Arabidopsis thaliana: one gene and its partners. The main gene of each other region encodes a partner of the protein of the gene in region 3 in a complex. Each region holds a gene or a part of one and is shown on either strand. Other genes may lie near its edges. The genes, in order: POK, AT1G71300 and VPS54.

Region 1 (3,600 bases), on a different chromosome or scaffold from region 3:
AGTTTTTGGTATCAAGTAACAGAGAAAGTAGATCAATAACCTTGGAAATAGCTTTCTGCCGAAGCTTTTCGAGCTCAGGCTCTACATCTTTTAACGCTTTGGAACTTTTAACTGCCTGATCTGCTTCTACAAATTTTAGCTTCTTACTCAGAATTTCAAGCGTTTTCATATACTCTTCATTCACCTGAATAAGGAAAATAATACGACTATCAGATTAGCAATAAAAATACCCTCAGCAATCCAACCTAGGCTTAAATGCACCACTATGGTTTTACAAAAAAAACACGTACTCAGGGGACATAAAGATAGGACTAAATGGTGTAAGAAAACAAAATGAAGAAAATTTAATAAATTTTAGTATTGCACATAGGGGAAGCATATACCAAGCTTAACCAGAAAATGTTGTTTTTCTATTTTTCCTCCATGTTTCAGATTACAACATATGCACCAAATCAGTAATTCTTATAGCACCAGAAACAAAAAGAAAAATTAGACATGTATACAACATGACGAGATCCTACAAAATTCCTACAAATCTCCAACCCTACCAAAGCTACATAAAAAGTGAATTTGAAAAATACCTCTCCGTCAACAATTACATCTATCATCTTTGGTGGCACTATAATGTCTTCGACAAATTTTGCTAGCTTTGATTCAGCCACCTATTCAAATAGAAGAGTTCATTTGGATGAGTCACGAGTGAAAGCAGCAAGAGATAATACCAATAGTGGTTTCTGATTAGCTATACCCTGCGGTTTTTCAATCTCAAACCCATGTCCATTGACTTTTCTTGAAGAATCTTTATGTCTGAACTTATAGAACCAATCTCTTCCTGAAAGAAAAGAAGCAAAGTGCACATTTAGATTACCAGGAAAAAATATATGTATTTCAAAGTAAAAAAATTCCTCCCATTAAGCAAAAGTCAGAATAAGGAGAAAGAAGCACATACATACACACAAATTATATAAATGTCTAATTTTCAAATACCTGAAATCCACTGAGAAGAGTTTCCATTTGTGACAGGATGCTGTCACAGTCACGAATCTGATCGTGAAGTGAGACTAGGTTGTCACTTTCCTTTATGTAATCCTGAGTATTCATGGAATGTAAAGCATTTAAGTTAGTTACTTACGATATCAAAGAAATTCCCGAACTTATAGACGGAAGTACATAAAAAGTAGAAAACAACAAGTGCCACAATGTAGCACAGGTAGAGAATAACAACCTCGATTGAATCCAATTCAACCTTGCGTAGATTGTTTTCAACCCCTTTTGCATATTCTCTAAGTTTGTCACCACTAGACAGTATATTGGCAACAACCTGACATTTCACACAAACAAGATAGAAAGGACATCATATCCATGGATCTAACATTCTATGATCAATCCATGTACTCCAAAGTAACTCAAATGAGAGTAGAAACAATACTTCGAAAAAGAAGAACCGAGGTGCTAGCTTTATAAGTTTGATCTCAGTTAAGTGAATAACTTACCTCATCACTTTCACATTCTTCAAGTTCTTGTTGAAGCCCTTCCAATGAAATATCCTCACTGCCAAACAAATCAAAGGAGAGCATTCTAATCAGAAGAACAAAGAGAAGCAGAAACATATGTTATAGTCGAATTAAGATACAAAACATGAGAACGTTACCTGCCTGAATCTTCTTCAAAAGCCAAGTCTCCAACAAATGCTCCTAAATCAAATCCAAGTTTCTCATGATTACTAAAGTCCCCCATAGTTTGGCCCTATGAATTTCAGATAGAAGAGCAAAGCGAATTAGACAAGAGATCATAAAGGATCCATGATTAAGGCTAGAAGATCACGAATGCAAAAAAAATGAAGTACCAATGCGTCAATGGAAATGTCGGACATCTTCCTAATGAGATTAAGAGTTGAAAGATCTTCAACTAGAAAACGAAATCAGAATCCTCGAAATCAGTTTGAGTCCGCCATTAGAGAGTCTTCTTCTTCTTCTTCTTCTTCTTCTTCTTCTTCTTCTTCTTCTTCAGCTTCACCTTTCTCAGATTCGTTCGTCTTCTCTAATCTGATTTTTAATTTCCCAATCAACAATAAAGGCCCATTGGGCCGTTAAAAGACTTATATATAAAACAAACGGGTTAAAATATGGGTCGCCCGATAAAACCCGTTTTGATAAATCATAAAACCTCAGAAGTCGGAAGACCTCAAGTGATGCTTTTTACTCGAGACAGAAGAAGATGATGAAGCAAGCCCGCTCTTTGCTCTCCAGGTTACTTCAGTTCCTCTCAAAATTCAGATTTTAGATTTCATTACTCTTAAAATGGCTTCTCTGGGTTGGTTTGTTTTTGTTAAAGCAGGAGCCTTTGTGACCAAAGTAAGTCACTTTTCGAAGCTTCGACGTTGCGTGGTTTTGCAAGCTGGTCAAATTCTTCAACCCCTGGACGTGGATTCCCTGGTAAAGGTAAGAACTTGGTTTGTTTCCGTTTCGTCAGTTTAAGTGTACTTGCCCTAATTTTGTTTGCTTGATTTGAGAAGATGCCGCAAAGCCTAGTGGTCGATTGTTCGCACCTTATTCTATCTTCAAAGGAAAAGCTGCTCTCTCTGTTGAACCTGTTCTTCCCAGTTTCACTGAAATCGATGTAAGCCCAAAATCCATTTCTTTTTAGTTTTGTGTGTTCTCTTTAAAGGCTTCTTTTAGATTCTCATTACTTACTGTGAGTACAATTGTTTAGTCGGGAAATCTTCGGATAGATCGTCGTGGATCCTTAATGATGACTTTTATGCCTGCTATTGGTGAGCGTAAGTACGACTGGGAAAAGAAACAGGTATTGATCTTTTTCACACTCTCTATCTTCTTCACTTGTCTCTTCTTTCTCCTCTGATAAATTTGGTTTGTTTCCTACATTATTGCAGAAATTTGCTTTGTCACCTACTGAAGTTGGATCCTTAATTAGCATGGGTTCCAAAGACAGCTCCGAGTTTTTCCATGACCCTTCCATGAAATCAAGGTTTGTCTTTTTTTGCTTCAATACATTATATTTTTATCGCAGCATTTTCATGTTCTGACATAGACTTGTCTTTGACTCCTCAGTAATGCTGGTCAAGTCAGGAAGTCACTGTCAGTTAAGCCCCACGCAGATGGTAGCGGCTACTTCATCTCATTGAGTAAGGCTTCTATCAAATTAACATGGATAATCAGTACTGAAATACTTAGTTATGGGAGCTTTCTGTTTAGTAAATTTAGAAGCTTGCACTTGTATTAGTTTTGTAATATGGCGATAACAGTTTTCGCACAGAATAGCTGTCTTATAACAATAGGAATGCTGAATTCTTAATGCTGTATAAACACTTACCTTCTGCGGTTTTGTTGCAGGCGTTAACAATAGCATCCTCAAAACCAATGACTATTTTGTGGTTCCTGTCACAAAAGCTGAATTTGCAGTGATGAAGACAGCTTTTAGTGTAAGATAAGATTTTTATTCTGCGTTCTCTATATTCTGTTACTATTATATCAGTTCGAGAACCAAAAACATTGACTAGAAAAACCAAGGGCATTGCTTCTCTGTCAGTTTTAGCACATGAATCTGGATCAAGTATATATTCTTCAAGGGATATTGGTG
Region 2 (5,406 bases), on a different chromosome or scaffold from region 3:
CCGAAACACATATACGTATATAAATATTGACCTTACAATAATAATACCTCACAATACAGACCAGAAGGCGTTTTCGACTTTGACTCATCTCCCAATCTAACTTCCGTAACGTTCCTAAGCTCCCGATCTAACTCTCACAGGATTCCTAAGGCCAGCCTTGGCCAGGTCTGCAACAGCTTGTGTTTGTGTAGCTGAAAAGAGGCCAGTCCTACGTTGCTTTGGCAAGCGAGATATAATGTAATTGACCTGCTTCTGGAACCCCATATCCAAAAGTCTATCGGCCTCATCTAAGATAAGAATCTCGAGATTTCGAAAATCCAGAAACTCCATTCGTTTCATCATATCTGAAAGCCTTCCAGGGGTGCCGATCAAGAGATTGGCTCCTTCTTCTTCGAGAGTATTCATGTCAGCTTCCACCTCTCGACCTCCAACAAGCAGGACAGAGTTCACATTTGGCAAAGTCGAGACGAACGGCTCTTGCCACCTTATGTATCTGCGCTGATAGCTCTCTCGTTGGCGATATAATCACCCCCATTACCTGAGATTGAAATTGTTAACATATAGCATAAGCTACTACTCTTGATATTCGGCTAATTCTCCTTACCTGGTGTGGCTTCGGAGGGTAGGAGTTGGATCGACGGATAATCTCTATGAAGGGAAGGAGGAAAGCTAGGGTTTTTCCAGAACCAGTGGCTGCGTCGACGACAACATCCTTGTGGCTGCAGAGGAAAGGGATCGTCTCGGCCTGAACCGGAGTGCAGACCTCGAAACCGGACCGGTCAAGCGCCTCGATGATATCTTCTGAGAGCGGAGGTTTGAGTTCAGAGAAACGCGGCGGCGCCTCCTCGATGATAGTGTTCGGTGGCGATGAATCCATGACGGCCGCCGCTTGCTTGTTGCTCACTCCAGCTTTATTTTTTAGACCTACAGCAAAATTTTGTTCGAATTAGGTAGTTTTTGGTCCAGTTTCTACTAAAGCCCACTAAGAGAAGAGATACATCTCTCGGCCCATTGTTAAAGTAAAGCTCTAGTCATTGCTTAAAAGAATACCTCTAAACATTGACATTTGACAGTAACAAACTCGGAGAGCATTCAGAGATCTACAAACAGATATTCTGTCACGGTTACCTCTGAAATCATTGGTGAAATGTATCTTGTCTAAAAGAAGTTGGCATCTTTAATCCGCTCGAGAGCATTCAGAGATCTTACTTGCGCCGATCGATGACGACAAGGCCTCGATTGTCGTTCATCAACTTCCCCGTTCGGACGTGATGGTGTGTTTCACTCTGTTTATCAAGAAGAGGAACCACTGTGTAATATCACAGTACGGAGATGGTAGGCGTTCTAGGGAATATCAGGTATACACAATGACGGTGGGATCAGGTGAAGAATCTAATTCTTGGAGAGTGATCACATGTAAGCATGATCATTCACCAGTTACTGAAGGACTATGTAAAGGAGGTTTCTTGTATTATGGAGCTGATGAGTCCAATAGTGACAAATCTGTGGTAGTGAGCTTCAACGTGAGTTCTGAAGAGTTTAGCGTCATTGAATTGCCTGAGGAAGTCAAGATTGATCATCGTTGGAGATTGGTGAACTACAATGGGGAAGTTGCCTTAGTAGATGACTCTGAGTTTGACTTTGGTATTGTGAAAGAACCGAATGGCAATGGAGTATTTGAATTGTGGGTAAGGAACGAAACTGATGGAACTTGGTGGAGAAACTGCATTGAGATTCCTCATTGGGAACAACATGTTGGAAATATGGAGTTTTTCTTCAAAGGTACCATTGGAACTGGAGAACTTGTGTTCGCTCAAGACTCTGTGATTGAGAGATCATTCTATGTGGTTTATTATGATACAGTCACACAAAATCTCAGAAGATTTACGATTGAAGGTGTAGCTAGAGATCAGCTTCATGATGTTCGAACCTTCTTGGATCATGTTGATAGTACTTGGCTTATGTGAAGAACAAGAGTTAGGTTGTTATATATATGCGAGAATCAGATTTTGAGTTTTTACAAAATCTATTAAAATTTGGAGATCTTAACTTCTTTTTTCTCGACAATATCTGTAAGAAAATAAAATAAAAATAGACATTTGTTGGTATCACAAAAATAATATAGACCTCCTTGGTATTTGCGTATCCTCTCATCTATATCGCCAGTGGCTCCGTGGCCTTCAAATCAATTCTCAAATTTTGTATATATATATACTAAGATTAAGATTTGACTATTGTTATAACCATTGGTGTTTCTCCAGAATTTGTACAGCAACATGCCCACTAACTCATTGGTAAGCTGGCACTTCGTTTTCGCTCTAAATTTGATTTGCTGAGTTCTAAAGCCTTTTGGATCATGATGTTATTGTTATGGTTGTTTTACTTCTTTTGCGGGTTCGATCTCTCATCGAAGTTTGGGTCTATTCTCTTTGCTCTTCCTCTTCTAACTAAAAAAACATAACGTTACCATCGACTAGGGTTTTTGGTGATTTTTCGTTTTTCTCATGATTAAGATTGGTTTTGAGGTTTTTCCCTTTTCAATTAGGATTTCTAGTAATGATATATTGTAAGGCTTTAAGTTGGATTGTTCCTTGTCTGTATATAAAGTCCCTTTATGATCAATAAGAAATCAAACAATTAACCCTAACTCTCTCTAAGAGCGACTTGCGTTAAAAGGAAGCTTGCTAAAATCTTTCTCACGTTAACAAACTGCACGAAACCGAAATCACAGGCTCATATCAAGTCTCTTATCGAAGTTTGTGTCTATCTAAAAACATAGGGCCAAGCTATGGACGACTTCAGTAATCTTGAGAAACATGAATCTGAATTAGGAGCATTCTTTGGAGACTTGGCTTTTGAAGAGGATTCAAGAAGGTAACATTCTCATGTCTTTTCTGTTTACCTTAATTCGAGTTTGACATAAGTTTCTGCTTCTCTTTATTGTTCTGATTTAGAATGCTCTCCTTTGGTTCTGTCTCATTCATAAAATCGACATTACTCTTTTTGTTGGGCAGTGAGGATATATCATTGGAAGGGCTTCAACAAGAACTTGAAGAATGTGAAAGTGACGAGGTGAGAAAAAAAAACTGAAAGTGAACAAAGTTTTTTCCAGTATCATATCTACTCCGTTTTGACTTACTCTGTACATGGATAGAAGTTTTGATCCAAGGCTATTTTTCTTGTGAAAGTTCAGGTTGTTGCCAATATACTGTCCAGTGGTGACAAACTTAGAGAATATGCCAAAGGTGTTGAAAACAATCTACGGAAGGTTGAATTGGATTCAGTTGAGGTTGCTATTCTCTTACCTGTGATACATTGTGGCACTCGTTGTTTTCTACTTTTCATGTAACGTATTTTGTTCCTTGTACAAGTTTAATATCGTAATTTACTAATGTTTCTACCCTCCATTAATACTCAGGATTACATAAAAGAAAGTGATAAACTAGTCTCACTTCACGATCAGATTCGTGACTGTAACTGCATCTTGTCACAAATGGAAACTCTTCTCAGTGGATTTCAGGTATTTGACAATTTATATAGTTTGTGATTCTTTCTCCTTAATCTGAATGCGCACTTTGCTTCTTCGTTTCTTTCAGGAAGAGATTGGTTCTATAAGTTCAGACATAAAGATTCTTCAAGAAAATTCAATGGACATGGGTTTGAGACTGAAAAATCGAAGGGTATATAGTCATATCAGAAACCACTATTAGTATTATCTCTTTCTCCTTCAACCTCGGTGGTATTTTCTTATGTGTGTTACTCATCAAAACAAGCTCTCCTATATGAACAGGTGACTGAATCAAAGCTAGCAAAATTTGTCGAAGACTTTATAGTACCACCAAAGATGATTCATGTAATTGTTGATGGAGAGGTATCTTTTCAAATTCCCTCTTTCTATGTAATTGTTGCTTTGGTAGGATTTTTATTTCTAATCTGATAGTCTTGCTATTTTCTGTATTCAGGTGAATGAAGAGTATATCAAAACACTTGGAATTCTGAGCAAGAAGCTGAAATTTGTAGAAACAGATCAAGCAGTTAAAAGTTCCAAAGCATTAAAAGATGTAGAGCCTGAGCTTGAAAAGCTCCGGCAAAAAGCTATTTCCAAGGTTGTTAATCTACTTTCTCTGTTACTTGATTCGTAACAATTATGTCTTTGTTTGTTCTGTTCCAATGCTTCCAAGGGCATGCACGTCGAGGGAGCAATTCTCATTTATTTCCGTTTTGCAGGTTTATGATTTTATTGTTCAGAAGCTTATAGCCCTGAGGAAACCCAAAACAAACATTCAGATTCTTCAACAGAGTGTGTTTTTAAAGTACAAGTGAGTCATGCACCCTTTTACTTTGGTTTTTTTACGTACTTCATTTACCAAATTACATTTTGATCATAGGTATATTATCTCCTTCCTCAAAGAACATGGAAAAGAAGTGTTTATGGATGTCCGCGCTGCATACATAGATACCATGAACAAGGTACTTCTTCTTTTCTTGTATTCTCACTAGAGCTATAATGATTAGATGATGTATGCAGGTTAGATTGAACAAGCTTTATGTTATGGGTTAGGCTTTCAGTTGTTAATGTTACACCTAATATAATGTGAGATCTGGTTTCAGGTGCTAAGTGCACATTTTCAGTCTTATATTCAAGCATTTGAGAAACTACAGTTAGATATAGCCACATCAAACGACTTGATTGGTGTGGACACTAGAAGCACTGGCCTCTTCTCAAGATCTAAGGAGCCACTAAAGAACCGTTGTGCCGTTTTTGCTTTGGGTGAGAGGATACAAATTATAAAGGTATTCATCATTTATCCAGTGATTATATTTTTTCAGACCATTGAGCATGATTTGGCGAATTCGTTAGTTCCACGTTCACTTGATATTTTCCTGTATTTCTTATCGTTGACTTGGAGGTATTATATCGCAAGAGTTTGTTAAAAGACTTAAGTTTCACTATGTATGATGTAGGAAATTGATCAACCTGCTTTGATCCCGCACATAGCCGAAGCCAGCTCTCTCAAGTATCCTTATGAAGTGCTCTTCAGGAGCTTGCACAAGCTACTTATGGATACAGCTACTTCTGAGTTCTGTTGATCTTTCCTCTTTTCTATTTGTGTTATTGTTTCTCACCACCCACCCCCTTGTTAACGTCATTTGTTTTCATTTTGACAGGTATATCTTTTGTGAAGATTTCTTTGGTGAACAGTCTATATTTTATGAAATATTTGCGGGTAAGTTTTAATCTTTCCTCCTTTTTCTATACCAAACTTTGTAGTCAGAATAGTTGTTACAAATTTTTATATGGTACTTGAGTAGTGTGTAAGAAATATTGTCTTACGCAATTTTTTCTTGGATAAATTCTGAATTCTCCATGACACAGGCCCATTCTCTGTTATCTATGAGCACTTG
Region 3 (5,406 bases):
AGGTCTGGTCACTCACCGTTCTTAGCAATCCAATAACTAAAGGAAGAAGCCGATCACATAAGGTAGAGGTATCCTCTTCTTCTAACTTAACCTGCAAAGGCGTAAGCCCAATATTCAGAGTCATGATGGTCGTTGTTTCAGTTCTTTTTCTGATAATCTACCACTTCTCACAGTTTAGGATCTTCTATTCAGTACCGGATGAGACTTACTTCTTCGCCGGTATTCCCGTTAGATGAAATGGATCCCCGTATATTTGCTGCAGATAAAATCAGTACATCTATCTCCCCAGTATCATGTATGGAGATACGCATGAATTCTGAAGTGAGAATACTACAAAGAAAAAATCAATGAACCATCAGGCACTAGACCAAATAAACAAATAAAAGAAAATAATAGAGAAAACAGGACTGGTAGATAACTGCATATAGAAAGTGAACTTACATTATAGTAAAATTTTCACGGAACAATTCACTACCAAAGAAAATCAATATACTAAACATTTAACTGATACAAATGCCTACAGGTTGTATACTGTTCTACACCTTTTGAAGGTAACAAAATATGAATGAAGTATCAAAATAATGACGAACATAGTACATTTCAATGCAAACCAAGATTTATCATAATAAGGGTAATTCCGCCAGCAAGGCATTACCGCATGCAAGAACTTAAGGGGAAAGTTTAAGAGTTCAGAAGTTATGATTGATTACTAATAGAATGCTACAAGCCTGGATGCATGCATAGTCATCAGACGGTAAAACTATCCACCGCAATTGGCAGTTATAAAACTTAATCTCAGCAAATGGCCCAAGCACACGGGTAACATGAAAGGGTTGATCTACAAAGAAACAGCGACTTCGCAAATTATAGAGAGACTATCTGCTATATATAAACCAGAAGTCAATAAAAGGACGTAGAAGGGTAAAAAAAAACCAGAGCTGCAAAACCCTGCAAACATTTTTCAAATATCGACTGCCTTCACTATCTAAGAATTTCAAGACGCTCGAAAGCGAGACTCAAAAACATAGTCAATAATTCACATCTTCACCACTTCTCTAAAAACTTGGTAAGGTACTTTGCACAGTTAAGATCCGACTTACTCTCATTGTTCCCAATCAATCCATCCTAAAAGAGCATTACAGGCAGACTAAATACAGCCTATTATAGTCAGTTATCATAGCCTGAAAAGAGACACACCTGTTTATGGAATCTATGGAACTAGTAACATGATCCCGAAGATGGCGGAAGCAGTATAGACCAGTAAGCTCATCCCCAGCCTAAAAAAGACAGGAATCCATTTTACATTCTAAAGAAAGAGCACCCTAATCGTCTAAAAGTATCCAACATCAATCACAGATGAACTTACCAGCAAGTTCTGGAGATCGTCAGTTATATCCAAAGCTCCAGCACAATCTGCGGACGCAACAAGCTGAACAATAAAGAATCAAACTTCCATCAATAAAAGATAGGAAAAACAAAAAAGTATCTACATTGACACTACTCTAAGCAAATCAGTAAGAAAAATTACCAATTTGAGTGCAGAGAGAGCTTGGTTAACATACAAAATAAGTCTTAATTTACGTTGCAGCTCCAGCATATTAATCCTAGTTGAGCTCAGCTCTTGAATCTGTCGAGCTGAATCTACCAAATTCCTATCCAGGAGCCGAATAGTCTCTTTCAACTCACGAATCCTACTACAACCCTCAACAATCTTCACATTCAAATCCTGTAACTGTCCTTGAGCCTCAAAAAACGAATCAGACCTCACAGAGATCTCCTTCACAAGATGCAGCTCCACCACATCAAGATACTGTGACAACTTCTCTTGAAGCGCTAGATTCTCATTAAGGCTCGAGAAAGGGCAAGCAGAACGAAATGTAGCTCCGTCCTCAAGAGCAAAATCCTCCTTAAAGTAAAGCGAAGGAACCTCACGCAAACACGCAGCTAAACCCGATACATGGCTCTCCTGATCAAACCCACAGCTCTCTTCCCTAGTATGCTTCCTAATATCCTCAAATCTACCATGAGACTCAGAGATCGAAGAAACGTAGCCATGGAAGTCGGATCTGGTTAGCTCCGAACCAGGGAGCTTCGTTGAAGCAACAGGCGCAAACTCAGCTGGAGCTACAAATGTCGATGAAGACCACCAACCAACCCAAGATGCATCGGAACCATAAACACCAGACTTACCTCCGTGTGGATTGTTAAGGATCGAAGAGAGACTTTGACTACTTGCATCGGAGATCGATTTGGTTAACGGTGAAGGAGAAGATGAAGAAGACGAAGAAGGACGACCAAGATCTAAGCTCGATCGGTTCGAATTGGTAATGGACCTTCCCATTAGGGAAGGGTGTGAATCCATAAGTCCTTCACGAAATCAAAATCATGAACCAAAATTGTGGAAAAATTCACAAGTTGATCTGGGGAAGAATCGAATTTCAAAATCAGAGAGATCTTTGGGATTTTAAGAGTGTGGATCGAATCGAATTGTGTGTGTGTTGTGAGAAAGTTTGGTGAGAGTTTGGATCTGGAAGAGAAGCTAAGGAACGGAGGACTCACTGAGGAAAGTCCTCTCTGGGTTCGAGACTCGATGGTTCGAGAGAGGTGGTGCTGTGAGCAGTGCGGGGTTTCACTACGCAGATTTAATCGACGGTGCATTAGGTATCCACGTCATCTACAGAAAAGGATAAATGTCAGTTTGATTCTGTAATTATGAATAACTGATTTTCATTACTAGTAAAATTAATATTACTATATTACAAATATCTTTTCAATTCAATAAATCAAATAGTTCTCTAACAAAATTTGTAATATTCTAATTAGTTAATTTGGAAAAATGCCTTGTTTTGTTTATACTTTTGAAAAATATCCTATGGATTTTTGTTTGAGTTAATTTGGAAAAATGCCTTGTATTTTTTTTACTTAATTATGTTGTTTTCATATATTACTCATGGAAATTTTTGGATCAAGCATATGTTAATATTAGAAAATATATATTAGAAGAACAATATTTTAAAATACAACATTTTGTTTAACCACAAAAATTTTAAGTCTTCACTTCAATGACACCTCTACTAACGGTTTCTTGTGTGACTTCAGACACAGTTGATGCTTCCACAAGCTCACTTGATAAAGGTCCAAGCGAAGAAGAAAGTCCTACCGACTTCAAGTGCGGTGTCTCAGAAGCCATGGAAGGTGTGTTCTTATGCACTATGGGTTTCTAATCTGATGTTTCCACAAGTTCACTTCAATCACTTGATGACTCTCTAATGGAAGAATAAAATCTTAGTGGATTAGCATGCAGAGTCTCAGAAGCCATGGAAGGTGTGTTCTTGTTGATTACAGTTTCTTTAGTTGATCTTTCCACAAGCTCACTTGATGAATCTCCAATTGGAGAAGAAAATCTTAATGGATTCGAGTGTGGTGTATCAGACGCTACGGAAGAAGTGTTCTTGTATATTCTGGGTTTCTTGGCTGATGCTTCCACAATATCACTTGATGAAGCCCCAAGTGAAGAGGACAATCCTAGCGGATTCAAGTGCTGTGTCTCGGAAGCCATGGAAGATATGTTCTTGTGTGTTGATACCAACATCGGATGATCAAAGATACAAGTGGGACCGGAGCTGCAGTTTCCACTGTAAAAATATAAGGTACACACGGGTTCTCCATGTCGAAAGATTGGAGCAAAAATTGAGCAAGCGATAAACACAGATGATAGTAATGAGATTAGAAAAACAGAGTTCAGTTTGAAGTCGAACAAGCTTTTGGTGTTGGTTAGTTCAAAAGAATGAGGTTTGAAGCAAAGAAAACTAACGTCTGCTAGATTGCTACTGCTAGTTTAAGAAATGGCTCACCGTCCGTGAAGGGAGGCCTTTGGAGCTTAAGGAGGTCTCAAGGACATGGGTTTCTCTCTCACTCGGATGATGGAATTTACACATACTGTAATACCAAAGTTGCAGTCTCCTGTCTGCATGTAACATGGGCATCTGGTAAAACATGGAATCCCCAAACAAACATGGGAAGCTTAGAGATTCTGCTAATGGATGATACATCCATCAAACAAACTCCCAGAACAATGTGTATGAGTAATCTCAAGCTGTTTTCGTTTGGTGGATCTAAAGTCCAAGATTTCAGAGGTTTGGAGTTGCTGCCTTTCTCAGGTTGCTCTCAGTTATCAGACATGTATCTCACAGATTGTAATCTGTACAAATTCCCGGACAATTTTAGCTGCTTATCCTCGCTGCAGTCTTTATGCTTGAGCCGAAACAGTATCGAGAATCTACCAGGAAGCATCAAGAAACTTCATCATCTCAAATCTCTTTACTTAAAGAATTGCAAAAATCTCATTTCTCTTCCAGTGCTTCCATCAAATCAGTACTTGGATGTTCATGGCTGTATCTCACTCGAAACAGTTTCAAAACCCATGACGCTTCTAGTGATAGCTGAAAAGACCCATTCTACTTTCGTATTCACGGATTGCTACAAGCTAAACCGAGATGCACAAGAAAAAATTGTGGCTCATACTCAGCTCAAGAGTCAAATACTGGCGAATAGATCTTTTCAACTTAATCATAAGGTCCAATCTCTGGTTATTCTGTTATTATTCCAGTGACATTGCTATCCTTAATGGTTTTTCCAGGAACTAGTTTTGGAACCTTTATCTGCTGTAAGTTTTCCAGGGAATGATTTGCCACTATGGTTCCGCCATCAGAGAATTGGATCTTCAATGGAAACCAACCTGCCTTCACACTGGTGCGACGATAAATTCATTGGTCTTTCTCTCTGCACGGTTGTCTCTTTCAAGGACTATGAAGATAGAACCAGCCGGTTCTCCGTGATATGCAAGTGCAAGTTCAGAAACGAAGACGGTGATTACATCAGCTTTACATGTAATCTTGGGGGATGGAAAGAGCAGTGTGGATCGTCTAGCCATGAAGAATCAAGAAGACTTAGCTCTGATCATGTGTTCATCAGTTATAGCAACTGTTACCATGCCAAGAAAAACGATGATCTCAATAGATGTTGCAACACCACAGCCTCGTTCAAATTTTTTGTTACTGATGGCAGAGCCAAAAGAAAACTAGATTGCTGTGAGGTGGTGAAATGCGGGATGAGCTTGTTATATGCACCAGATGAGAATGATTGTAGGTTGCATGGGTTACACGAGAATAATCTTGAGAAAGAGATATCTGGAAAAGATACAGAACTAAACGAAACCGCCTTGGATAAAGTTGTTGTGTCCAAGAGAGGCCGTTTATGTGTACAAGAAGAAGAGCTACTGAACAGGAAAAGAATAAAGGAAGACGTCTCTTTTGGTAATTACGATTGTTCTGTAACTTCTATTCTTAGTTACATGGAGCCAGCAAAGCCTCATCTCTGGAAATAACTAATTTCAGAAAGCTGATT

Evidence for each region.
Region 1: VPS54 (region 3) and POK share a complex: the UniProt entries of both Arabidopsis thaliana proteins name them as parts of the golgi-associated retrograde protein (GARP) complex.
Region 2: VPS54 (region 3) and AT1G71300 share a complex: the UniProt entries of both Arabidopsis thaliana proteins name them as parts of the golgi-associated retrograde protein (GARP) complex.

The regions. Positions count from the first base shown.
Region 1 is NC_003070.9:26,862,009-26,865,608, reverse strand, and holds the start of POK (Vps52 / Sac2 family), read right to left. Parts: upstream 2,023-3,600; 5' UTR 1,874-2,022; coding exon 1,847-1,873; intron 1,747-1,846; coding exon 1,652-1,746; intron 1,552-1,651; coding exon 1,494-1,551; intron 1,322-1,493; coding exon 1,226-1,321; intron 1,090-1,225; coding exon 988-1,089; intron 833-987; coding exon 749-832; intron 663-748; coding exon 582-662; intron 185-581; coding exon 41-184; intron 1-40. Other genes in the region: ATWHY2 (WHIRLY 2), read left to right, coding at 2,218-2,249, 2,338-2,441, 2,516-2,619, 2,713-2,805, 2,894-2,988, 3,072-3,145, 3,354-3,442. UniProt on the Arabidopsis thaliana protein: Acts as a component of the GARP complex that is involved in retrograde transport from early and late endosomes to the trans-Golgi network (TGN). The GARP complex facilitates tethering as well as SNARE complex assembly at the Golgi.
Region 2 is NC_003070.9:26,871,276-26,876,681, forward strand, and holds the start of AT1G71300 (Vps52 / Sac2 family), read left to right. Parts: upstream 1-2,788; coding exon 2,789-2,874; intron 2,875-2,954; coding exon 2,955-3,072; intron 3,073-3,193; coding exon 3,194-3,307; intron 3,308-3,418; coding exon 3,419-3,520; intron 3,521-3,596; coding exon 3,597-3,680; intron 3,681-3,790; coding exon 3,791-3,871; intron 3,872-3,962; coding exon 3,963-4,106; intron 4,107-4,227; coding exon 4,228-4,319; intron 4,320-4,388; coding exon 4,389-4,470; intron 4,471-4,611; coding exon 4,612-4,794; intron 4,795-4,965; coding exon 4,966-5,081; intron 5,082-5,169; coding exon 5,170-5,228; intron 5,229-5,377; coding exon 5,378-5,406. Other genes in the region: AT1G71280 (DEA(D/H)-box RNA helicase family protein), read right to left, coding at 139-425, 451-538, 605-877; AT1G71290 (F-box associated ubiquitination effector family protein), read left to right, coding at 1,368-1,967. UniProt on the Arabidopsis thaliana protein: May be involved in retrograde transport of early and late endosomes to the late Golgi.
Region 3 is NC_003075.7:10,612,973-10,618,378, reverse strand, and holds the start of VPS54 (VPS54), read right to left. Parts: upstream 2,684-5,406; 5' UTR 2,363-2,683; coding exon 1,529-2,362; intron 1,430-1,528; coding exon 1,367-1,429; intron 1,278-1,366; coding exon 1,198-1,277; intron 331-1,197; coding exon 210-330; intron 92-209; coding exon 17-91; intron 1-16. Other genes in the region: AT4G19485 (uncharacterized protein), read right to left, coding at 3,047-3,210, 3,256-3,559; AT4G19480 (uncharacterized protein), read left to right, coding at 3,063-3,195, 3,346-3,599; AT4G19470 (Leucine-rich repeat (LRR) family protein), read left to right, coding at 4,040-4,136, 4,179-4,588, 4,640-5,386. UniProt on the Arabidopsis thaliana protein: Acts as a component of the GARP complex that is involved in retrograde transport from early and late endosomes to the trans-Golgi network (TGN). The GARP complex facilitates tethering as well as SNARE complex assembly at the Golgi.